Arabidopsis thaliana: one gene and its partners. The protein of the gene in region 1 interacts with the protein of each later gene in a pairwise test. Each region holds a gene or a part of one and is shown on either strand. Other genes may lie near its edges.

The links.
Region 2: the proteins of ARD4 (region 1) and PGK interact in a two-hybrid assay, tested with the Arabidopsis thaliana proteins (one large-scale study listed by BioGRID).
Region 3: the proteins of ARD4 (region 1) and TUA2 interact in a two-hybrid assay, tested with the Arabidopsis thaliana proteins (one large-scale study listed by BioGRID).
Region 4: the proteins of ARD4 (region 1) and VOZ1 interact in a two-hybrid assay, tested with the Arabidopsis thaliana proteins (one large-scale study listed by BioGRID).

What each region holds. Positions count from the first base shown.
Region 1 is NC_003076.8:17,626,045-17,631,969, forward strand, and holds ARD4 (RmlC-like cupins superfamily protein), read right to left. Parts: upstream 3,320-5,925; 5' UTR 3,079-3,319; coding exon 3,067-3,078; intron 2,842-3,066; coding exon 2,754-2,841; intron 2,538-2,753; coding exon 2,443-2,537; intron 1,824-2,442; coding exon 1,584-1,823; intron 1,449-1,583; coding exon 1,320-1,448; 3' UTR 1,088-1,319; downstream 1-1,087. Other genes in the region: HSFA6A (heat shock transcription factor A6A), read right to left, coding at 1-7, 87-320; CLH2 (chlorophyllase 2), read left to right, coding at 4,448-4,717, 5,454-5,925. UniProt on the Arabidopsis thaliana protein: Catalyzes 2 different reactions between oxygen and the acireductone 1,2-dihydroxy-3-keto-5-methylthiopentene (DHK-MTPene) depending upon the metal bound in the active site.
Region 2 is NC_003070.9:29,923,109-29,929,385, reverse strand, and holds PGK (phosphoglycerate kinase), read left to right. Parts: upstream 1-2,749; 5' UTR 2,750-2,924; exon of another isoform or gene 2,925-3,059; 5' UTR 3,060-3,090; coding exon 3,091-3,285; intron 3,286-3,585; coding exon 3,586-3,663; intron 3,664-3,751; coding exon 3,752-4,012; intron 4,013-4,100; coding exon 4,101-4,418; intron 4,419-4,526; coding exon 4,527-4,685; intron 4,686-4,844; coding exon 4,845-5,039; 3' UTR 5,040-5,363; downstream 5,364-6,277. Other genes in the region: FTSH12 (FTSH protease 12), read right to left, coding at 9-251, 331-408, 641-918, 1,135-1,361, 1,568-1,752, 1,982-2,410.
Region 3 is NC_003070.9:18,515,007-18,520,854, forward strand, and holds TUA2 (tubulin alpha-2 chain), read left to right. Parts: upstream 1-2,579; 5' UTR 2,580-2,730; coding exon 2,731-2,823; intron 2,824-2,825; exon of another isoform or gene 2,826-3,285; coding exon 3,286-3,520; intron 3,521-3,613; coding exon 3,614-3,984; intron 3,985-4,069; coding exon 4,070-4,723; 3' UTR 4,724-4,994; downstream 4,995-5,848. Other genes in the region: AT1G50000 (methyltransferase), read right to left, coding at 177-322, 538-652, 758-819, 932-1,040, 1,123-1,169, 1,267-1,409, 1,730-1,803, 2,044-2,238; AT1G50020 (tubulin alpha-6 chain), read right to left, coding at 5,138-5,260, 5,564-5,671. UniProt on the Arabidopsis thaliana protein: Tubulin is the major constituent of microtubules, a cylinder consisting of laterally associated linear protofilaments composed of alpha- and beta-tubulin heterodimers.
Region 4 is NC_003070.9:10,026,197-10,032,868, reverse strand, and holds VOZ1 (vascular plant one zinc finger protein), read right to left. Parts: upstream 3,787-6,672; 5' UTR 3,602-3,786; exon of another isoform or gene 3,196-3,601; 5' UTR 3,157-3,195; coding exon 2,926-3,156; intron 2,806-2,925; coding exon 2,656-2,805; intron 2,559-2,655; coding exon 2,042-2,558; intron 1,953-2,041; coding exon 1,390-1,952; 3' UTR 879-1,389; downstream 1-878. Other genes in the region: AT1G28530 (deneddylase), read left to right, coding at 90-320, 403-523, 624-742. UniProt on the Arabidopsis thaliana protein: Transcriptional activator acting positively in the phytochrome B signaling pathway. Functions redundantly with VOZ2 to promote flowering downstream of phytochrome B (phyB). Down-regulates 'FLOWERING LOCUS C' (FLC) and up-regulates 'FLOWERING LOCUS T' (FT).

The DNA of each region.
Region 1 (5,925 bases):
TAAACCCCTACAGATCATTAAACAAAGATTTAATTTTTAATGAAGATCAAAATAACCAAGACAAAAACTCAAAAGTAGTTACGTACATAAGTATTGAGCTGTCTAACAAAGCTGGAGAAATTATTGTGCTTAAAGCATCTAGGGAGGCAAATTAGGGCAAAAGTCTCTGGTTCCCAAACAATGAAGCTGTTGTTGTCTCTGCTCCATGAAACTATGTTGTTTGTGCTTGAATCCTCCACTATGTTGTATGTTTTCGTCAAGAAAGCCGTTGGTGGCGTTTCTTTGAGACCCTCTAATGGAATTGGAAGGTTATAATCCATTTTGTGAACAAAAAACCTATATAAATTTGAGCTTTTTTAATAAAAAAAGAGAGAGGAGAGAATAGTTGTGATGAATAGCTGAAGCTTGAGGATGCTTTTATGCTGTCTATATTTTTGGGGTTTAATATTTTTGGATAGAAATGTATTGCTTTTGAGTGTTTTGGATAAGTCTATTTATTAGTTATCTTTGATGTGGACAAAGCCGATTTGCTATAAATGGAAATGAGAGATCATAGTGTCATACATTCATTGGAAGATGCTACTTTTGTGTTCTTTTGTCTTCTATGAATATCAGAAAATCTAAAATTTAATTAATCATTATAAATTTAGTGACTATGCTCCAACATTTATAAGCTTCGTTTTCGCCCATGACACGTTGTAGTGAATGCATAGAGATACGTTTCGTGGTTTGTTTGTTTATTCTGAAGTCAGAATGATGGGATTTTTGGTGGAACCCTTTGAAAGATTTGTGTAGAGAACAAGAGTATCCTTTGAAAATTTGATTGATCCTTGATTCAATTGAATTGGGTTGGGGGAAAACCAGATCTAACCACACCAAATCAAACGGTTAAGCACGACACAAGCAGAATTATACATTATATATATATATACAATTAATATATTGATAATGCATAATTTTAAGAAGATTTTGTAAAGAAGAGGTCATTTCAAATATAAGAAAATTTATGCTTTAACTTTTGAAGTACACTAACACTATATAAGTAATAATACTTGAATTACAGTTTGGAAAGCTCAAATAATTTATTCGAAAATCGTAGGGTTTTTTTAGTTATAAATTTCACGTTCGCAGCTGACATTTGTTTTTTAATGATACTTATTAGATAAATACACACTATTTTTTTTATGTATAAAAGCATACATCGCAAAAGTATGTTACAAGAACAACTATCCAGAAGGAGCCGCTGTTTTTATTTTACTGCTTAAGACTAAAGAGTAAACAATACATACAAATTACACAACAAGCATATATTAATATTGTTAATGTGCTTTAACGGTTTCTCCAAACTTGTAGGTTAAGCCGTGGATATACTTTTTCCTAACAGGATGTTCTTCCTGTGGCCGGTTATATGGTGTCCAAACCGGTTCCCCCACGAACAGCCTCATTAGCTGCAAAACCAAACCACCATACATCACAAACCAACAATCAAATCTTTTAACATAAGATATTAAGATGTAATATTTCATTTGCGTATTCATATAAATTAGTAAATTAGTATAGAGACTGAGTTTGGCTTTTTGTACCTTGATGTAGTTGCTGGCGTCGAGTGTGAACCGGTGGTAGATTCCGGCAGGAAGGACAATGAGATCGCCAGGTTGCATCCAGATACGGATCCAACGATCATCCTTGTCCCTAACATCAAAGTAGCCACTTCCTGCTAGGCAGTACCGAATCTCTTCGTCCTTGTGAATGTGTTCTGTGAAAAAGTTCTTCAGCTTTTCTTCGTAGTTGCTGACTTTCTCGGGACACAGATCCAGCAAATCCTAAAATGAAGATTAACCAAAGTAATCATTCTGCTTGAGAAAATTAGTTTATAGCTCATAAGTTACAATGCTACACACCACACAAATAGCTTAATTATTTTTAACGTAAACCAAACGTTTTAATGTTCCCTTAATACTCAATTACAGAGAAGCCTTCTTCCTTAATAAGCTGGTTTCTAAAATGTTTGTAGTCATACTACCCCTTAATGGTTATGCAAGATTATAGTCCTACTGTCCTATGATACATGTTTTTTTTTTTCATGAGATTAGCGTGCAGAGATAACAAGTAAAGGAACTGAAACATCAATAGCCGCTTATGGTGAGCATGAGTTAAAAAAGGGTGATCAGAAAGACATAAGCCGTAGCAAATCCTGTACTCTAATACTCATAAGGCTTCTTTCTTCATAGGCTGGTTTTGTAAGGTTTGAGTACTACCTTCATTATGTAGTCCTACACTCCTACTGTGTCTAGTATATGTCACAATCGTTAATCTCATGAGATCAACATGCAACGATATGCAACAAGTTAAAAAACAGAGACATTCAATTGGCATTTATGATGAGCATGAGTGTTCCTAAGTTAAGAAAAAACAGTGATCAGGAAGAGATAATATGCGTACCATGTAATCGTAACCCCTGTCTTCTCTAATCTTGCTAAGTTCAGAATCATTCTCGTAGTTCTCAGGGTTCAACTTCCAGTACAACACTCCCAACTCTACAAAACACAACAACTATATTTGTGATATTTGCATAATTTATGATTCTGTTAAATCTCATCTTGGGTAAATTTGACCATTTCCTTAGTTTTAAGACGGTTTACGTTTAGTTTCCTCATGTAGAATCACTACTCAATACAATAAAGCATGAAAGATTGATGTTTTTCAAAAGTTGCAAAGTAAGAGTAATTTTTAAGGTAGAGAATTGAAAAGACCTGCCAAGTAATCCAACGAGACGAGTTCTTTCGGGTTACGATGATGAGGAAGTCTCTGGTCCTCATTGCTATCATCCATAAACCATGCCTGCATCAATCAACACTTAAGCCTCAGGGAAAGAAAAAAATCTCAAGAAAAAACTTTTGATTCAATTTTCAATTTCAGCTGCAAAACGGTAAAATCAAATCCCAATTCTCAGTTCTGCCAAAATCAAATCAAATCCCCAAAATAATTCCGAAAGAGCAACGATAATCACTATTGAACGAATCGAGATTCGAAATCAGAATCTAGAACCTATGAATCAGAACTCACCTCGAGAGCCATTAATGATCTTCGTTGTGTAAATGCTTTTTTGATTTCAGACTCATCAGAGTGATGAAGATCAGATAAATAAATGGCTATTTCCTCCGTCGATGATAGCCACGTGTACGATCACTTTAATTCGTATTATTTTCCTTTCTCCTAATTTTTATTAATTCTGGTTTCGAAATTCTAATAATAAAAAATCGTTATTTTTTCTTTTGCACGAAAAAAACAACCGTTTTCGAGCCACAATGATCATGAATGAATAAGACCAAAACATTGGCTCATTTGTATGATATTGTATTTTCTGAGGTTCATATATTTCCATCTGATTTGAACTAGAATGATCTATATTCAGATATATAATTTATATTTCAAACTTGAAATTAGTTTTAACTAGAAAAAAAAAATGTAATCCAAAATCGTACATAGGTATATATATTTTTTTTCCACAAATCGTACATAGGTAATGAGGTAATGTTTAACACTTTAACTTGGGCCGTGTAATACAAATTGGGCCGTTTAACACTTTAAATTAGTCTCGAATGTTATATAATGTTTTTTTTTTTTTTAAATTGGACTAGAGAAAAAGTAGTCTAGTATGAAGTACAAAGCCCATTCCTTGTACCCAGCAACAGCATATCAATTTATTTTTTTGCTAAGAGCATATCATATCATATCAATTTTTTTCTCTTCTATATTTTAATTTTTAATACTTCTTAGTCATAAATCTTTTGACCATTTATTATTAAATTTAATCTGAAACACAAAGTAACTTTCTTACAAAAATTCAAATCTCCAATTATTTTGTTTGAATTTAAATATTTTTTAAAATTCCAAAAAATCTCATATATATAGGATCTGACTTTGTTTAAATATAGAGAAATTTAACTAGACTATAATAAAAAGACTTCATAAAATTTATTACCCAAAATTAGAAAAAATCAGGTTTCAATACTGAAAATAGACTATGAATATATGGCCTTATGATTGTAGTTGTTATATTCCATGCACACATAAGTAATTTCTTTCTATTTGATTTGTTTTTTAAAAAAAAATATTTAGAAGTTTAAATTTAAAGGTCTTATATTTTTTAGAGATGGGACACAAGTTAAATTTATATTCTTTAGAAAATAGATTCTTTTCAACAGACGTTTAATCCAATATCTACATCTGGAAGATTTATCATTACACCAACCCCAATAATATAAGTAATTTAACATAAGTAATTTTTTTCTATTTGATTTTGTTTATGTGCTCTTTAAAATTAACCAAGATTTCAACGGCCATACTTCTTATAACTTTTAATAATATCTCTACTCACCTCATTCTCATGAACCCACCAAACAAAAAAAGTAAAGAAAAGAAAAACTAATAAAGAACAAAAAAAATGTCCTCTTCTTCATCAAGAAACGCCTTTGAAGATGGCAAATACAAATCAAATCTCTTAACCTTGGACTCATCATCTCGTTGCTGCAAAATAACACCGTCTTCTAGAGCTTCACCGTCTCCGCCAAAGCAGCTGTTGGTGGCTACGCCGGTGGAGGAAGGAGATTATCCGGTGGTGATGCTCCTCCATGGTTACCTTCTCTACAACTCCTTCTATTCTCAGCTTATGTTGCATGTCTCTTCTCATGGCTTCATCCTCATCGCTCCTCAGGTTCAATTTCAATTTCCAATCATTACATTAGTTCAGGAACTAATTAGCCACTGAAATTCTTGTTTAGTTTTAGATTCCTATGTGTATTAGTAATTTAGTATAGAAATTATTTTTTGGGGGGTCAAACTAGTGTATAGTTTTTGTTTAATTAGTAAAATGTTATGAGTTATTTTTATGGAAATGGTACTATCGGAATTGTTAAATCCAGTGTATAGTTTTTGTTTAGGGATTTAGTATTAGTGTAGAGTTTAGAAAAATGTAAATTCGCTACAATCTCGTTCCATTCCATTTTGTGCAAATATTGCATGTGACTGACTACTTGGTCCTTTGAGGTTTAGTGTGAATGTTCATGAATATGTAGGTCCATGTATTAAGATATTCTAGTTGAATCCAAAAAAATCATAATAAATACATATACATTGATTTGTTAGGACTTATAGGATTTAGGATTTAGGATTTAACCAAGATGTATCTATAATTCAGCTGGATGCATGGAACACATTATGCCACGTTTAAATTAGTTATTTTTCTGAAACTTTTCTTTTATTATTGTTTGGCTCTTATAAGAACCTTAGACAAGAAGAAAAGTAAGAACAAAAATGCATATCAATGGGTCCACTTGATGTGTTTATCCTGTTTTTGTCTCTAGAGTCTCTCGAATTTCTAATATCAAATGTTAACATTTTATTTTATATGGTTGTAAATCAAATTTCTTGGCTATGTGATATTATAACAGTTATATAGTATCGCCGGACCAGACACAATGGATGAGATTAAATCAACGGCGGAGATTATGGATTGGTTATCAGTAGGACTTAATCACTTTCTTCCAGCGCAAGTAACACCAAACCTATCCAAATTTGCCCTCTCCGGCCATAGCCGCGGTGGCAAAACCGCGTTTGCGGTCGCCTTAAAGAAATTTGGGTACTCCTCGAATCTAAAGATCTCGACATTGATCGGTATAGATCCAGTCGATGGAACAGGGAAAGGGAAACAAACCCCTCCTCCGGTGTTGGCTTACCTTCCAAACTCATTTGACCTAGACAAAACGCCTATACTTGTGATCGGTTCGGGGCTTGGTGAAACCGCTCGGAACCCATTATTCCCACCGTGTGCACCTCCCGGAGTGAATCACCGAGAGTTCTTTCGGGAATGTCAAGGTCCAGCATGGCATTTCGTTGCGAAGGATTATGGGCATTTGGACATGC
Region 2 (6,277 bases), on another chromosome or scaffold:
ATGATTACCAATATAAAATTTTCTGCATAAGCCATATCAAACAGCTGATTATACTTCTTGTAGAGAAAGCGCTTGGATGTGATAAGGAGAAGCATGGCAGATTCTCTTATAAACCATAAAATTAGTATCCCCGGCAGAAGTGCAATGAAAACTTTCATGAAGTAGTGGATCTGCCTCTTCTGAAGAAGATCCACCTCAACTCCGGCGTTGCAAATAGTCTCAAACAAGTAAGGATCTAAGGGAATGTCAACCTAGAAATAAAAAGGATATGACATGGTGAATGTACATCATTCATTTCCAAATACTTGCAACTATAATTTTTTTACTTACAATATATTCTAGAGGGAAACCTTCTTTCATGGTCACATACAATCTCTTTAGGTCTTCCGTGAAAACAACAGCTGCAACCTGTTATGAACACATACACAGATTATCGTGCCAACATAAGCTAAAAAAAAGATCTATCATCCTATCACGTCCAGCTTCAAATTAATTGCTTTGGAAAAGGAATATATTCATCATATTTTAACTCATAATGAATATACCATCACTTGTTATCATTTAAAAAATTCAACTGGATATAATGACACTTGCCACTCACAATCCCAAAGCCGGACAAGAGTATAGGTTAGAGCTGTACCTCAGAAGAATCAAGCTTCTGAAGGAAGTAGGTATAGGGAAGCTTAGGGCGATATCGCCACCATCTCTTTGATATCCAGAGAGCTCTAGTTCCCTCAGTTTCAGATGTCCTTCCAATAACATCTTCGCGAAGACTTTTCTCTACCTCTTTCATATCAAATTCAACCACATACTTCGCCGCTGAGGAGTTTAACTGTTCTGATAATTTTTCTCGTTCTAACATTTCCTTCCAGGTTGCAAGCCTTTCCCGCCAATTACCTACACTGTCTCCAATTTCACCTATCATAGAAGAATGCAATAGAGGATTAGATGGTCAAAAGCACAGGTTACCAATGATAGTAGATGAGGGATCTAGAAGTGCTGCTCTGAAAGAAACTTGATTAGTGAGATAAGATTAGGTCGTCAAAAACAAAGGTTTCGCACAATAAATCACTTCTTGTTATATCTTCAGCATGCCACTACTAAACAAGTATCACCTAACGAATGTATACTGACCAGAGACACCCAGATCTTGGCTTAGTTTCTTCTTTGCCTCTGTCTGAATCCTAGCATTTCTACCAATTATTTTCTTGAGAGATCCCTCTGTGGTCTCTAGATCGTCATCCCACGCATTTTCTCCAACATAAGAACTATCGTGGACAAGTGTTCCATCAGGCGCTTCAATGAACCTTTTTAATTTCAAGCCTTTAGGTGTTGCTTTCCTCCACATATTTCTCTTGAACCTGAAACACTAGAATAAGTCAGGACATTCTACAAAATCAAATAAACAGAAGTTCTTTTAGTCTTCCCACTCTTGACGCTTTAGATGCCTCATTAGCTGAGTATTTACTTGTTAAAGGATGATACCATAGTTTGAATATGAACCATATTTTACCATGTCCCAGTAGAGAAAATTACAATCGGAAACTGAGGATTAGGAAGCACCTACTTTTCTATATTTCCAGGAGATGGCTCGGGGATCAAAGCCTCCATAAAAGACTCTGTTAACTCTCTTCTCTCTCGTTCTACCCGAGGAGCTTGGATGGCAACATAAACTCTTTGACAAGAAAGTAACAGCGCAAAAGCATATATGAACAAGGCAGCAACTCGTTTACCGTCCCAATTCCTGATGTCCTGATACAATACATCTTCCCTCATTAAGAAACAACCTAATACACTAGTATATGTCGCTAGAATAAGCGTAGTTGTAGTCTCCTCCAAAATTTATGCTTCCGTTAAATCAACAACAAAATAAATAAATACCATACGTTTGTCCCTCAATGTTTTAGAACACAAGCAGAAGTCTAACAATACTTGAGAATCAGAAATTTGATAATTACGTTAAAAAGCTGAACCAGCTTACCTTCCAATGCTCCCACTTGTTCCAATCAATAAACGAAGGCACTGTCTCATTCTTAAAGCGAGTCAGCTCGTGATGGCCCTTGTGCACACTATCCTTAACTCGAGCCACATACTCATTCACTCTCCCACTTGCTTCTTCCGAGTCAAACCCAATTTCTGTCTTCACAGATTCTCCAATCTTCTCCCCAATCCGCTCGGCACCAAGGCGAATAGACTGAGCCAATCTCACCCACGAAAAGCCTCCATCGCTATTAGATGAAGACCCACTACTACTTTCAGACGCATAGACTCGAAAGAGCTGTTTTTTCCGGGTAGCTCCCAGTCCATACTTGGCGGGAAACCGAACAAGACCAAAACTTTTTGATCTTTTCAACAACTGAGTCGATGAAGAGATAAGCGGATTCGGTTTATACGAAATTGCAATCTCCATGAATGAAATCACAAGAAAAAAATTAAAAAGAGAACAAAACCAGACGCATTTGAAGATTTTTCCCGATTAAAGAGCTCTCTCTGAGAAAATTACTGAAGGAAAATGGTGAGTACCAACCATTCAGCTCACTCGACTCTCCGGCAAGACTTACGCTTCTCTCCGGTAAGGAGGTTTATCTACACTGATCCGTCGTTGAGAGTGTCCTAATACTTCGAAGGAGAAAGATGACGCTTAAACTCAAAGAGGCTCGAAGCCTATTAGTTATATAATTGGGCTAGCCCATTAAGGTCCATCAGCCCACTATCCGAAAAATAATATATTTAAACCGTGGAATCCAAGGAGAGACACAGTGGCAAAAAGGGTAATTATAGGGACATTTCTTGGGGTGTTGTCCAAGCTGCTTTTATATAAGGAAGGGATATTGTTCTCTCGCTTCTCGAAAGATCCATTCACCAACTCTTTATACCAGCCTCTGTAACGTTCGATCATCTTGTATTTCATTTCAACCACTCATGTAAGTATATTCTTTCTTCAGATTCCGATTGTTTTCTTCGATTAAGTTTTGAGCTAGATTCTCTAGATCTGTTTCACCGATTTGGTTGATTTCTCCGTCAATCTGAACTCGCGGTGTGCATCTTGTTGTTTGCAGTGTTTTTAGTTTGTTTTACGAAGAATCAACTATGGCGACGAAGAGAAGCGTTGGAACTTTGAAGGAAGCGGATCTGAAGGGAAAGAGTGTGTTCGTGAGGGTTGATCTCAACGTTCCTTTGGATGATAACTCTAACATCACCGATGACACCAGGATTCGTGCCGCTGTTCCCACCATCAAGTACTTGATGGGTAATGGATCTAGGGTTGTTCTCTGCAGTCACTTGGTATGATATCTTATCTCAGTTCTCACTTCACTACTTGCTTATCTGTTGTAATTTTGGTGTGGGAATTTTGATCTGATCTGTTTATCCGGAGAGCCATGCGTATAAGAAGAGTCTCTTTGCATGTTAGGATGTAGATATAGTATTCTTGTTTTTCAATATGTTCATTGACTCTATCGGTTGATTTTCTGGTGTTGTTTGGGTAATTGTTTTAGTAAGTTTACTTGGATATGTTTATACTCAAGTTCAATTGGATGATGCTGTTGAATTAATGGATGTATCTGATCTCAATTTATGTTTCAGGGCCGCCCAAAAGGTGTTACTCCTAAGTACAGCTTAAAGCCTCTTGTGCCCAGATTGTCTGAACTTCTTGGTGTTGAGGTTTGTTCCTCTTCCTCTTCTAGACTTGCAAGGTTTCTGAACATTAGCTTTTAAAAGAACACTGTTCTCACTCTGTTTGTGTTAATAGGTTGTAATGGCAAATGACTCTATTGGTGAGGAAGTCCAGAAGTTGGTTGCAGGACTACCTGAAGGTGGTGTTTTGCTCTTGGAGAATGTGAGGTTCTACGCCGAGGAAGAGAAGAATGATCCTGAATTTGCAAAGAAGCTTGCTGCTCTTGCCGATGTTTACGTTAATGATGCCTTCGGAACTGCTCACAGAGCTCATGCTTCCACTGAGGGAGTTGCCAAATTCTTGAAGCCTTCAGTTGCTGGTTTCCTCATGCAGAAGGTATTTAAAATTTGCAGCATAAAGAGTATCTTCTTAGATGAGTCTCTTTATTTTACTGATCAGACTATTACTTGTTTTATTGTGTCAGGAACTTGATTACCTTGTCGGAGCTGTGGCAAACCCCAAGAAGCCTTTTGCTGCCATTGTTGGAGGCTCAAAGGTTTCAACAAAGATTGGTGTCATTGAGTCTCTCTTGAACACAGTTGACATCCTCCTGCTCGGTGGAGGTATGATTTTTACTTTCTACAAGGCACAAGGACTCTCAGTCGGATCTTCCCTTGTGGAGGAGGACAAGCTTGACTTGGCAAAGTCACTCATGGAGAAAGCAAAGGCCAAAGGTGTCTCTCTCTTGCTCCCAACCGATGTGGTTATTGCTGACAAGTTTGCTCCCGATGCTAACAGCAAGGTAACTATCACAGTCATTGTGGTTGACTCTCAATGGGCCATGTATGAAAGTAAAACATTTAAGCGTCTGGTCTGGTCTCTTTAAAGCTGACACATATGACTCTTGCAGATAGTGCCAGCCACTGCCATCCCTGATGGCTGGATGGGTCTAGATATTGGTCCAGACTCCATCAAGACATTCAGCGAAGCTCTGGACACAACCAAAACCATCATCTGGAATGGTCCCATGGGTGTGTTTGAATTCGATAAGTTTGCTGCTGGAACTGAGGTATGAGCAACTAAACACATATAAACACAAGTTTTAGTCTCACTTTTGTCTAAATCCATTTGTCTTCAACATGTTTGTTAATCATCTGTCTTCAACATGTTTGTTAATCGGAGAAACCCAACTTAACTAACCCAATCTCTTGTCTTGTTTCACCATCAGGCCGTAGCAAAGCAGCTTGCAGAACTAAGCGGAAAGGGAGTAACCACAATCATTGGAGGAGGTGACTCTGTTGCTGCCGTCGAGAAGGTTGGTTTGGCAGACAAGATGAGCCACATCTCTACCGGAGGCGGTGCTAGTTTGGAGCTTCTTGAGGGTAAGCCACTTCCAGGAGTCCTCGCTCTCGACGAAGCTTGAAAATCCTCACGTTGGATTTCATCGCTATTTTGTGTTGTTATATGTATAACAAGTCGTCTGGTTATCTTGTGACCAGACGAGCAAGCCATTATTTATCAGCTTGAGATTTTCGTCTACGGCTCTCTTTTTATGAGTTTTTTAGTTTGGAGCCTTTTTTTAATAATAAGAGATGAAACTCTGATTGACGACAAAAAAAGAAAAGAAATGAAACTCTGATTAGCAAACTCCTCCATACTTCAACCAATGATTTGTCTCTTGCCTATAATTGTCCATTTAAAACGAAACAAGATCGTTGGGACGCATAATTGGCTTAACATGTTTTAGAAAAAAAAAAAAAAAGAAGATTCGTATTCCATCTTATTTGTTAACAACTAAAGGAGATATAAAGAAAATTAGAACACCTTTTACTAAAGAATACCGTGTGTTCTCTACGCTAAGCGGCATACACCTATTTTTGGAGGAGCAACTTCATATGAAGTCCGCTCCATTAAATCATCAGTTCGATAATTCTTAGCTAAATAGTTTCTATAGAGTCGATTGTTATTGAGTTCTCATTAGACAAGTTAAAGGCCCAGAAATTGCCCAATAACGACAAATAACGACATCAGAAATCGTCCCACATCGGATGGAACAGAAAGTAGATGTGGAAGGATTCACATATAAAATGCATTGGTGCACTCACTTCAGAAGTTATGGAGCCGTGTGGTGAATACAAAGCGAACTATTCTTTCGCCTTTTACTAAAGAATACCGTGTGTTCTCCACGCTAAACGGCATACACCAATTTTTGGAGGAGTAACTTCATCTGAAGTTTGCTCCATTAATCCCTCAGTTCAATCTTTAGTTGATTAACCATTAGTAATAGTATACAATTACTTGACAGGAAAAAATAATGAGATTATCTGACCAAAGATTGATGCCGGTTCTGAAGTCTTCAGGAGCGGTTAAGTGAACCAAGTGCTGGGTTCAACTCATAGCGATTATAGATCGATTTGTTATTTATTTGTTGATAATTTATTTCGATTATAGAATCCATTGAAGATCGATTACTCAACGGAAGGTTATCAAGTCAGTTAGTACTGCGGTTAACTAGTGGGTTACTAAACTCAAAGTTATGATACTTATTAGACGTAGCTCGTTTAGTGTGATTTTGAAGAGATAAGAATATATATTTGGCATTATTAGTTAGAAGATTTATGAATTTGTTTGTTTTTGTATTTGCATTTTTCGGTTTTCTAA
Region 3 (5,848 bases), on another chromosome or scaffold:
CTTGTTCTTCGGTGTTTATGTATTTTTATGTATCCTTGATTCCTTGTTTATCATGAGGCTTTAATATTCAAACATCCTCTTTGTTTTCTTATCAATGATGTCCAGACTCAACTAAGCAAAATCTCTGAACACAAGACAAAGCCTAAAGGCACCAAAAACTAAAGCCTAACAAGCTTTTAGATCATCTCTTGAGAGTCAGACCACATCACTAGAGTTGCCAAAAGAGCAATGGTTGCGGTCTCAACTCGCAACCGGTGTGGCCCCAGTCCAACTGCTGTGCCGCCTGCTTCCAACATCATCTCCACCTCTTTCTTCGTAAAGTCTGCTTCAATTTCATTGTTGACCGTTAGATAACAAACATATTTTTTATATCACTGAGACAAGTCATATTAACAAGAGCCATAAGCTACTGTTCATTTTGTGTCTACTCGAGCATTAACCCATGATTTCATTTTCGACAATGTGAAAGTGTAGCAAGTCAGTAGAAATTTTAAAAGAGAACTACATCAGAAATGTATTGAAGAGAAGATTTCTTACCGCCTTCTGGTCCAACGATTAATAGTCCGCTGGATTCTTTTGCTGAGGAGTTTACTGCATTAAGAAGAGGTTTAGCTTCGGCTGTAGCAACCAAACATAACTTTGACTTCAAAATCTAGAAAACCCCAAAAGGTGTCAAAACAAGTTTAGAAGAACAAAAAGTCAGAAATTTTATAAACCAAGGATCTTAGAGTTTGCGTAGAAAAATGTTCAAACATACATGATCCAAGAGGGTACCAAATTTGATTGGAGGGTTCAGTACCATTTGATGAAGTCTTTGGCCTGTGACAGTGAAAGATAAGGCAAATAGTTTCTGATCATACAACTATAATGCGAAGGAAAAAGAAGAGCAAGATTAACCAACCAATTGTTTTCTTTCACTATTGCTACTTACATTGCTTAGCTGCAGCAAAACTAACGCGTTCCAATCTATCGACCCGGTTTTCAGAGATTATGGGTGATCTTTCCGTTAAAAGTGGTGTGACACTGCTCGCTCCGAGTTCCTAAGACGAGCATATACACATATTCAGTGACACAATATTCACAGGTGATTTAGACAGTTACATACTAAAAGTAGATACATACTGTACATTTCTCAATTAGCCAATCCGCTCGACCACCCTTCAAAGTTCCTGACAAGACATTTTCAAAGAAATCATGACTCAAGCTGAGCCAGAGACTATAACATCCGGCGATATCGTAAAGTTAGGTTGAAGTCCTATTTCATACCAAAAGCTGCAAACACCTGCCACTGCATGCCCTGAGGAAGAATCACCTTCTGATCTTCTTGTGCGATAAAATCAACTCCAGTTTTGTCTATGCTTTGTATACAGCCTTCTACTAGACCCCCTTTGCCATTAAAGAGTTCTACCCTTGCAAAGAAAAGGGGTGCAAGTCATTACTTACATTCACTTAAGGTTTAGTGATCTTAAACTAAAGAAAAGGTTGGCCTCCTCTCACCTCAGGGTTACTTTTGATGCTATCATTACTTAAACAACTGAATTCCTCATGATAAAGATGCATAAAAATGAAAGGATGGATCCAGATACATTACAAACATCATTCAGATAGGATAAAACTTTTAGCAACATGGATACAAGCAAACAAAAAATGAACAAATCAATTTTTAAAAGGGCCTTTCATGAATGCAACACTGGAAAATGACAATAACATATATGAATGTAGTAATTACCTGTCCTCCTGTTTCAGTCTAAGAACTTTAGCCATATGCCAAAACTCAGAGCCTTGAACACGAACAACTCCACCCTATAAACAATCATAAAACGATTTACACAAAGAGGAGCTTATCATTTCAAACAACAAGAACATTTAATATTATCATTTCACCATGATTTTACCAGAAATTTCTTAGAGATTACAGTGAATTACAGTAATTTCTAAACTTCTCAGTGATTACCCTCACTCTCATTTCGATTGGATTCTTACACAGATTTAAAGGGAACAAAAATTATATGAGATAAAGATAGAGATAGATAGGGTGTGTGCCTTGCGAGATGGAAGATCATCGGAAAAGAATCGAGGAAGGCCACCGCGAGATTGATTCCGGAGATTCAAATCCGACGGAGGAGACGAAGATACAGTAGCAAACGATTTGAAGCTAGAAGTCGGAAGCCATGAACGAACGAGACTCGGCAAATCGGAAAACAGTGGCCGTGAAGCCGCCGCTAGCGCTCTCATCATTTACTCAAAGCTTTGAATTTTTGGTTACCATTTCGAAGATTTTGGTTAATACTAGTTTCTTATCGTTTCGGTTTACTTTAAATATTGGTCTGATCCGGTTCAATTCTAATTAAATTCCGGTTCATTTCCACGCAATTCAAGGAATTTTGCTATTTCAAAAATAAAGAGAAACGGTCAGAAAGCGATTGCCAAACAGAATCTAAGGAATCAAAATTCAAAATTAGAAAATACGCAACTCACGAGGATATCAACAAATCGTGGTTTTAACGACAACCCAATTACATCACTACACGTGTATCATACGTGCCGTTACATACAGATGGATACTTTCGCTTATAAATATAGCATCAAACAGCTCTGTAAAAACCTAGAAATCGAAAAAATCAGATCTAGATCTAAAAGAAGAGCGTCTTCATAAACGCCCTTCTTCTTCTTCGTCTTCTTCCCTGCAAATCTAGTTTCTAGATCTTTTCTTTCTTCCGCGAAACGAAAATGAGAGAGTGCATTTCGATCCACATTGGTCAGGCCGGTATCCAGGTCGGAAATGCTTGCTGGGAGCTTTACTGTCTTGAACATGGCATTCAGGTTCGTCTCTTCCTCTTCTATCTTGATCTGTGTTTTTCTTCATATTTTTCGTATTTTAAAAGATCAAATCTGAGATATTTTTGCGCAGCATTGACCTCGTAGATCTATTTTACGTAATCGTTTAGATCTGTGTTTGATTTCGACGTCTTATGAAATTTCTGTGGTTGATGCGAAATCCGTTTCTCATTTCTAAATTATTCGATGAACCTGGATAGATCTGTGTTTGAATTGGATTTCATGTCAGATTGCTTTTGCTGATGCCATATCCGTATTTGTTTTATAATATTGGGTGAAGGAAAACTTTGCTTTATTTGCTTAAAGAGATGGCGATTGATATTTGCGATATAGTTGAAGCATCTCGTTGTGATTTTCTCTTTTCATCGTTGCTTCTATATGTGTAGATCTTTTCGTTTTATATGTCTCTTTGTATTGATGTGTTGTCTTGGATGTGGAATGTTACAGCCTGATGGCCAGATGCCGAGTGACAAGACTGTTGGCGGAGGTGACGATGCTTTCAACACCTTCTTCAGTGAGACCGGTGCAGGGAAGCACGTCCCACGTGCTGTCTTTGTTGATCTTGAGCCAACTGTGATCGATGAGGTCAGGACTGGTACTTACCGTCAGCTTTTCCACCCTGAGCAACTCATCAGCGGTAAAGAAGACGCAGCTAACAATTTCGCCCGTGGGCATTACACCAGTAAGTTACTCCTTCCCTTGTTTCTTCATCATCAACCATATCTTGTTGAATTTACTGTTCATTCACTGATTTACTTTTGAAATCTTATTTCAGTTGGGAAAGAGATTGTTGATCTGTGCTTGGACCGTATCAGAAAGCTCGCTGATAACTGTACTGGTCTCCAAGGATTCCTCGTCTTCAACGCTGTTGGTGGAGGGACTGGATCTGGTCTTGGATCTCTCCTCCTTGAGAGACTTTCTGTTGACTACGGGAAAAAGTCCAAGTTGGGTTTCACAGTTTACCCATCTCCACAGGTCTCCACCTCTGTTGTTGAGCCTTACAACAGTGTCCTCTCCACTCACTCACTCTTGGAACACACTGATGTCTCTATCCTCCTCGACAATGAAGCTATCTATGACATCTGCAGACGTTCCCTAAGCATTGAGAGACCCACCTACACCAACCTCAACCGTCTCGTCTCTCAGGTATAGAGCCAGCTTCAATCATTTACATCAGTCAGTCTTTTTGCTGTTTCGTTTCTTATGTTTAACTCTCTCTTGATGGTTTCAGGTTATCTCATCCTTGACTGCTTCTCTGAGGTTCGATGGTGCCTTGAATGTTGATGTGACTGAGTTCCAAACCAACTTGGTCCCATACCCAAGAATCCACTTCATGCTTTCCTCCTATGCCCCAGTCATCTCCGCAGAGAAGGCCTTCCATGAGCAGCTCTCGGTTGCTGAGATCACAAACAGTGCTTTTGAGCCAGCATCCATGATGGCAAAGTGTGACCCTCGTCACGGAAAGTACATGGCTTGCTGTTTGATGTACCGTGGTGATGTCGTCCCCAAGGATGTGAACGCAGCTGTTGGCACCATCAAGACCAAGCGTACTATTCAGTTTGTGGACTGGTGTCCTACTGGATTCAAGTGTGGAATCAACTACCAGCCACCAACTGTTGTTCCAGGAGGTGATCTTGCTAAAGTCCAGAGAGCTGTGTGTATGATCTCAAACTCCACCAGTGTTGCTGAGGTGTTCTCCCGTATTGATCACAAGTTTGATCTTATGTACGCAAAACGTGCTTTCGTTCACTGGTATGTGGGTGAGGGTATGGAAGAAGGAGAATTTTCAGAGGCTCGTGAGGATCTTGCAGCATTGGAGAAGGATTACGAAGAGGTTGGTGCTGAAGGTGGTGACGATGAGGATGATGAAGGAGAGGAGTACTAAGAAGGTTGTCGGTTTTATGTGGGATTTCTATTATCTCGTGTTTGTGTGAATAGGCTCGAAACTCTTACGAGTCGTACTTGTGTTTTCAAAAACCATATTTCTATCTCTTGCTTGTGGCGGTAGCCATTTGTTCTAGTTCGTTTGTTTCTGATAATATTTTCATCTCCAAGAACTGAATTTAAGCTGGGTTTGGTTTAAATCGATTGTCCAAAATCTAAACAAATAGAAACGTCAAATTGTTATTTGAGTGGTGAAAGATTGAAATTTTTGGAACAGAGAAGCAATAGAGAAGCAACGATTCTTTTTACAACCGTAAGGAAAATAAATAAAAGGAAAGGCTGTAAATAAAAATATATACTTAGAGCAAATATATGCTCTACACTAGTTATGCAATAAAGAACAACTTGTTGCCTGCTAATTTAGACGAGGATCCATCCCTGATATCCTCTCATCCTCCAACAGAGCATATGGATCGATGTAAGGTGGTGGTGAAACCGGAGTTCTACTTCCATCATGAATGAAATCTGCTCCAAAGTACTATCATTTCAACAAGAAAAATCAGTTTATGGTAAGAAACCTTATCAAATCCATAGAAGAAAGGAACCTTAAAAACTCATTCCAAAACACTTTCTACGGCGTGCGAGAAGAACGTGGAAGAATACTGATAAGCATAAATGTGAATAGGACTTGGGTTGGATCAGAGTTGAGGGTCTTAACTAGGTGGTTGGTTGGAAGAGCTAAGAGGTCTCTTTACAGTCTCCAAAATACATTTGCCACTTTCTTAGTATTCAAGGACTAGAATGAAGAAAAGTACACTCCTTGATCTTATTAAATACTTACAAGGTAAAGAGCAGAGAAGGCGCCGAGAGTTAAGACTATCAATGGCCAAAAGCCCAAGAAGAAAGTCCCTCCAATTGTCAGCAAGATCCTAGCACGCGGAATCAACCCCTGAAACAACAATAAGCAGTTCCTTTCCAAATTTAACAAAACAAACTCCTAAAATCAACCTTTATCATAACTACATAAGCTGCTAAGAACTATCCGGATACAAAAGAAGGCAATGAAACATAATTTCAAGCCCTACAATAACTGACTATGAGAAACTATAATAATTAGAGGGTACTA
Region 4 (6,672 bases), on another chromosome or scaffold:
TGAGAGAATGAGATCAACCTTTTATTATTTTTTGTGGTGCTTTTTCCTGTTTTTCTCGGAAACTAAATTCTGAAACCTCAAATGAGCAGTTGGATTCATTCTGCGGATTACTCGTCAACAAGCTCAAGGATGCCTACAGCTGGGTAGGGGAGATCACACTAGAAAGCAGCATAGGTGCCTGGATAGGGGAAGTACCTGACTACTTGAAAGAAACCAGCAGAGCTAAGTCTGTTGAAGATCACATTGTTACAAGCTCGTCTCTTCTGGAAATACTCAATGAAGACGCAAAGGCATCTGCGCAAGATATCGCTACTTACCAGGTAATTCCAGTGAATTATGATGAATTGAATTCTTTTAAGTGGACTACTACTTCATCTTCGTCTGGTTCTTTAATGGAAGCAGGTAGTTTTATCATCCGAAGGTAAAATCATAGGGTTCCAACCGACAAGCCGGGTGGCTGTGAATCACTGGGCTGCTAATCCTTTAGCTAGAGAACTTTATGGAGGAAAAAAACTCAAGCCTGGTAACACACCATGGTTCTTCTTTCAATTCCTTAAATTCAATGCTATTCGTATCCTTTTAAGTTTATCTGATTATGTGTTGTGTCATTCTTTGCTTTGCAGGGCTGATTGAGCCTGGTCTTAAGAGTCACCCTCCCAAAAAAGTAGTTGTGTTGGAATTATTAATGTCTGTGAATTCAGATCGTCCTTTTGCATTGGTCAGACCATTATTGCCACAATAAGCATAGCGAAGTTCCTGTCTCTCTTTAGATGAATTTTAGTACAATATATGTAGAATATGATTTGATTGATTGCTTGTAACACTTGGCGTCTATGATATGCAAATATCTTAAGAAGAGTGAGAACGTGATTACATGATTCTTGAAACGATGCTTAAGATTTTGAAGCTCTGCAGAGAATTTTTATTAACAAAACCCCAAATCTGAAACATAGACTAAGTAAGAGCAATGATCTCATTGAACAAGGTCCTGATTCTATAAGAACAACACTGATACTCAAAACCGTATTTCCCCATCGGTTACATAATTTGTCATCTGCATTATATCGCAGAAGAGAGTCGAAAATGCATCAAAATATATAAACCGGAATGTCAGTAAATATGTCTTCACCTCCATAGACTGAATCTTAAAAAGCAGTCTCCTTCGTCACATTTACTATTCCTAACTCCAGGACAGTCTTCAGCATCCACTTCTTGTTATATATACATAATCTCCATAGATAGACAGAGAACTATTATATAAGAGAAAAAAAAGATACGAGTCATGAAAATCCATTACTTTGCCCTACGATATGTAGAAGCTTCTTCTGCTGCTGCCTAATTAAATGGTAAGCAAACAGCTTTTTAAACCTGAGTTTTTCCACATTCGTCTCAGGGGATATAATAGTCGCTTAGATTTCCGACCAGATAGTTAAACTCTTCACCTACTCCATAGTCATTTGCCTGCTCTACTGTGTTCTGAACATTCCCGGTGGCGACTTTTGTGCTCACTTTTGGTCTTCCTTTGATGCAGCGTTTGTTGTTGTTGGTGGTGTTAGTGGTATTGTTTTCTGGAGGGAACTCAGCTGTGAGTCTTCCCATCTGCTTCTGCAGATCAGCCACTGAGTCGTTTGAGACTTTGCCTTTTGAAGTCTTCTTCCCGTCAACAAGCTTGAGCTCGAGCCTGTACAAGGCACAAGCATCACACTTGTTGATCTCATATTCGTAAAGATGCCATTCGAAATGGTGCAGAGGCTGTGGATCCATGTAGTAAGATCTCTTCAGCCCTCCAAACTCGACCATGATCTGTTTACGTGACTCGTGCCAACCACGACCATTGTAGTCTGGTAAAGATCTTTGCTTTCTGTTCCCGCTCTCAAAGGCCCTCCTTGGCTTGTCAAAGAATAGCCACTCCCTTAGTGTCTCACTCTCCAGAACCGTGAGATCAAAGAGCTCTACAGTCATCAAGATTTGAGTATGATCAGCTCAAGAATGGTGATCAATTAACATACTTGTGAATGAATTCCAAGAGAGTAAAGCCTACCTGGAGCATTCCATGGAGATTTAGCAGTTGCAGCTCCTTCACATTCGGGAATACCAACATCTTTCCCTCCAGCCTTTGCACTAAGAGCAGCAAAAAGCAGACCGTCTTTTAGGCCGATACCTCCAGGACGCACCACCGGATTCATACCTGGTGGCCCTTCATTGAAAGCCAGTGCAGCGTGGAAGCTGCTGCAGTAATCCTGGAACCAATCAAATCCCTGAGCTGGCCTAGGGCAATCCCAAAGAGCACATTTTGGACCCAAGAATGCAGAGGGTGGAGGACAAATAGTCGGGATAAAATTAGAGATATGTATAGGACCCTCTACTACACCATAACTGGGACAATTGTTGAAACCACCATTGAAGTTTGGTTCAAACTCTTGTTGCAGATCATACTGCTGATGATACTCCAAAGGAGCCGTTCCATCGAAATTGTTACCAGCTGCTAAGGACAAATCTTTGCAATTATCAACCAATGGTAATCCATGTTCTGACTTCCCCTGAACCAAATTGTATCCCTGAAAACTTTCACCACGATCTCAGTATTTAAACAAAATAATGGACTCCAAACACAACTAAAGCACCATTAAAAACTGGTTCTAAAGAGCAACTCACCCTTTGGAAGACAGCAGCTTTGCCAGCTTCGAGATTCTGATCAGCAGGCTCGGGCTTGGGGGCAGCTAATTTGCTGGTAGCATCATCTTCCTCATCACAGAGCTGCAGCAGCCGACAAATATCTGATGAGAAAGACCCCAGAGTACCACCCTGCTTAAGCAAAACAAAATGACACAGCTAACAATGACTGAAACAACAAAGAAAACTAAATCACCCATGCAAGTCAGAAGAAACAACAAGATTGCAAATTTGAAACAAACGAAAGCATACTTGTTGCAAGGATGAAGCTGGAGAAGGCTCATTGAGCTCAGATTTCCACTCACGAAGCATCTGATTCACTTGCTCCTCAAGAAGAGTAACATCAGTAGGCCTACTCTCTTTCCTCGCAAACTGAAGATCCAAAAGCATGCCTTGCAAATCATCAACACGGTTCTTAGCCTTATCCTTGAAGAGCTTGTGAGAAGCAGATCTGCAATTAGTCTTTGATCGCTTCCCCGTCATAAGAAATCTCACCTCCCCACCACAAAAACACAAGATTCTCTGTACAAAACCAAAAACACATTCAAAATACACACTTCACATCAGTTCTGCTCCTATAACAAACATGATCACTCATGAATCATTGGTACATGCTTAGATTACATAAACAAAACCAAAACATTTACAGTAAATCAAAACCCAAAATCGATGAAGCAACAAAAGCCCTAGATGATCTCGAACGAAGTAGCTAAACGAAGATTAAAAGGATCATAAGTTTTAGGGATCGTCATTTTTTTACCTAATTGTCGAACTAAACAAGCAGCAAAAAACAGGTTACGAACACGAAATTGAATCATGCACAGAGTTAAAAAGAACAACAGATCGAAGTAACAAGAACAAATCGATTCTGAAGCAAAAAGCGACGCGAGATTTTGGAGTTTGAAGGAACCCAGAAAATCAAACTTACACTGTAGCTGCAGCAAAAGCAGCAAATAACAAAGGCAAAGAGAAAAATCTCCGGAAAATAAAAAGAAGAGTAATGAAGAAATGGAGAGAGTAAAAATTATGAATAAATAAAAAGAGAGAGATTATGAAGAAAAAAAAACACAAAGGAAATAAAGAAACGTTGCTGGATTCTCTTCTTCTCTTCACCCTCCACTTTTCTTTTTCCTTTTTTATGAGCTAAATTCAATGTACTAATTTATGAGAAAATATAAAAATTTAAAAATTATCAAATTGTGGGGAAATGTTTAAGGAATTTAATGATTATTTTGGAAAAAAATGCCATTTGGACTGTTTATTATGGATTCTTTTCTTTTTATTGTTCATTTTTTCTCTTTATAGCATTTATTTATATTAAGAAATATTAAATGAGCATTTAAAATTTACTATTTGTTGTGTAAATAATCTTTTTTTTTTGTTTTGTTTTCTAAACTAACCAGAGTTCAATTATGTTTTTTTTTTTTTTTTGTTGCACATATGCTTTAGAAAATTAGGCATTTTCTTCAATGCTATTGGCTCCATACACTACTTGCTCCTTATTTGAGGAAATTTAAATACTATTTGAGTTAGAAATTTAAGTTTTTCTTTAGACTATGTAATACATTAGGGAAGTCGCCAAGAATTTTTCCAAAATCAGAGTTTGGGTCACACGATTTGTAAGATATAATATAACCATGCGAATATGCGATGATAGAATTCAAGATAGGCTAAAGCTAAGCAAATTTTATACATACGAGAAAATTAAAACAAATACCAAACAAAAAAGTGTAAAAAAAGGCTTTGAAATTAAAACTACCATCCATTTTAGGGATGGAACATTTGCAAATATTAGAAAATGTTAAGACTAATGTAGTAACGCTAAAATTTGTGACATTGTATGATCATCGGGTTTAGTCCAAGTTAATGTGTATGGAGGGGAGTGGTTTGCAACTTTGCGTAGCTGTACTTGTAGTCGTAGGAAAAAAAAACTAAAAAACGATTCATGATAACATTTCTTTCGAGAATGTATATTTTGTTGATAAATTGACATAGACTTTATGATAGCATCGTAGTAGAACCACGTTAAAGATTTTGATTCAACGGCTAATTAGTGCTCAAGTCTACGACTACATGTAACGTAATTTGATAATAAAAAAGGAATATTGGAAATGTAACGTATTATATTTTCAAGATAAGTCAATTAGATTGATAACCGTAATTTTGGTTGCGCTTGACAATTGGTCATTTCTTAAAATAATTTGGACCCATTTGTTTTCTTATATCCTTTCAATGAGTTTTAACAATGAGATTGTTTGTACCTAATGTAAATTTGCATTACTTTTGGAGGAAAAAACAAACAAGCATAACAAAGGAATCTTGGGTAAAGAATTTGGACAAGTGTCGTGAATACTAAGTTATTATTATTTTCTTTTAAGATACAAGAAGGTGTAAAAGAAGGAGATATTGGCAAGGAAGGAATATAACTTAGCTTTTCTCCACTATGTTTTCCATATTCCTATCTTGTGATGCTCATCAATTTTCATCATACCATCTACTTTCAATTTCTTCAATGGTCATATTCTATCGTTCTTTATCTATTATTGCTTATTATTCTCATTTCAAATACATAATGTTCGTCGTATGAACTCTAAAAAAATATTCAAATTCAACTTTTAACTAGGTTATAAGAAATAATATCTCCACTAATTTTAAACAACCAATTCTTGACTGAGTACGATTATATATTAATCACAGTTAAACAGCCAATTATTGACAATATTTTCTTTGAGTATGCACCTTACATCTTATATATCCCTGGTTGGAATATAGATCGGTCCACCACTACACTTTATCTTTGATCCGGACCAAATTAGTGACAGTGGAGAAGTTTTTTTCCTTCTTTTTCTTTTCTTTAAGGTCTCCAAGGTGAATTCAATGTCACCATAATAGATTTCTATATCATATGTGACAAAACATCCAACTCAAATTCAAAATAAGCTAGGGATAAGAGTGGCTCAACTAGATGATGCTTAACGTCGAGCCCATACTTTAATGGTAGAAGAAAGCATGTATCCCATGTTGGAAAAAACGAACAAAATGATGTTTATCAAATTGTTACACTCTCGAGGTTAAATTATCTACGAAAATTGTATGCTTCGAAGAACATCACCATAACGATTTAACCGTCTGGTAAATTCGAAAATTTGTCCCGAATAAATATACTTAACTACTTATTACTAATGTGTGTAAATTTTTTATTCTTAAATCTCTCAAATGGGATAAATTTAGACTATGATCATTCCATGATTTTAGATCAATATAATTTATTGTTGTGCATTGGTGTAAATTTAGAATTCCAAAACTATTTTATTTAGATTTTGTTTTAACTATAACGTCTGGTAAATGTATCACTTTTTTAATATTAAATAGTAAGATAAAATCATTTAACTCTTTGTATGATTTAAATTCGAGTTATTATAAACGAAGTGTACTAAGCTAATTCATAAATTACTTTAGCTGAAGGAGTTAGCCCATTTTGATTACCACAATCTCCTAAGATTATATCACACAACATAAACTTCTACTAGCTCATCATAAGTAGCATGCGTTTTTATAAATCGATGTGTTGTCTTTTTCCTTTTTGATCGTCGTTATGAGAAAACATGATATGCTTTTATGGAATTTCTAAGCATTTGCCCAAATGATTGTTCCCCCTATAATATATTCCCTTTCTCTACCTCCAACAGCTATTCTCACTTTTTTCTTTACTAACTTTTTTCTCTCATTCTAGTATTCAGACTCTTGGTGGAATAAACCTAACGACATACCCATAGGTTCCTTTCGTCTCCAATTTAAAATGAAATCGTTTTGTGATAAAGACATTATTCTTTTGTAAGAGTTGATCGCCTTTTACCACAAAACCAAACTAGTTGTCGCTATAGTTTTGACCTTATTAGATCATGGATAAATATGATGTACATTTTGTAATCTGGAGAAAGAAGTAATTTGGTACATCTCAATGTCTCTTTCATAATGAATTCGTCATTATCCAACATT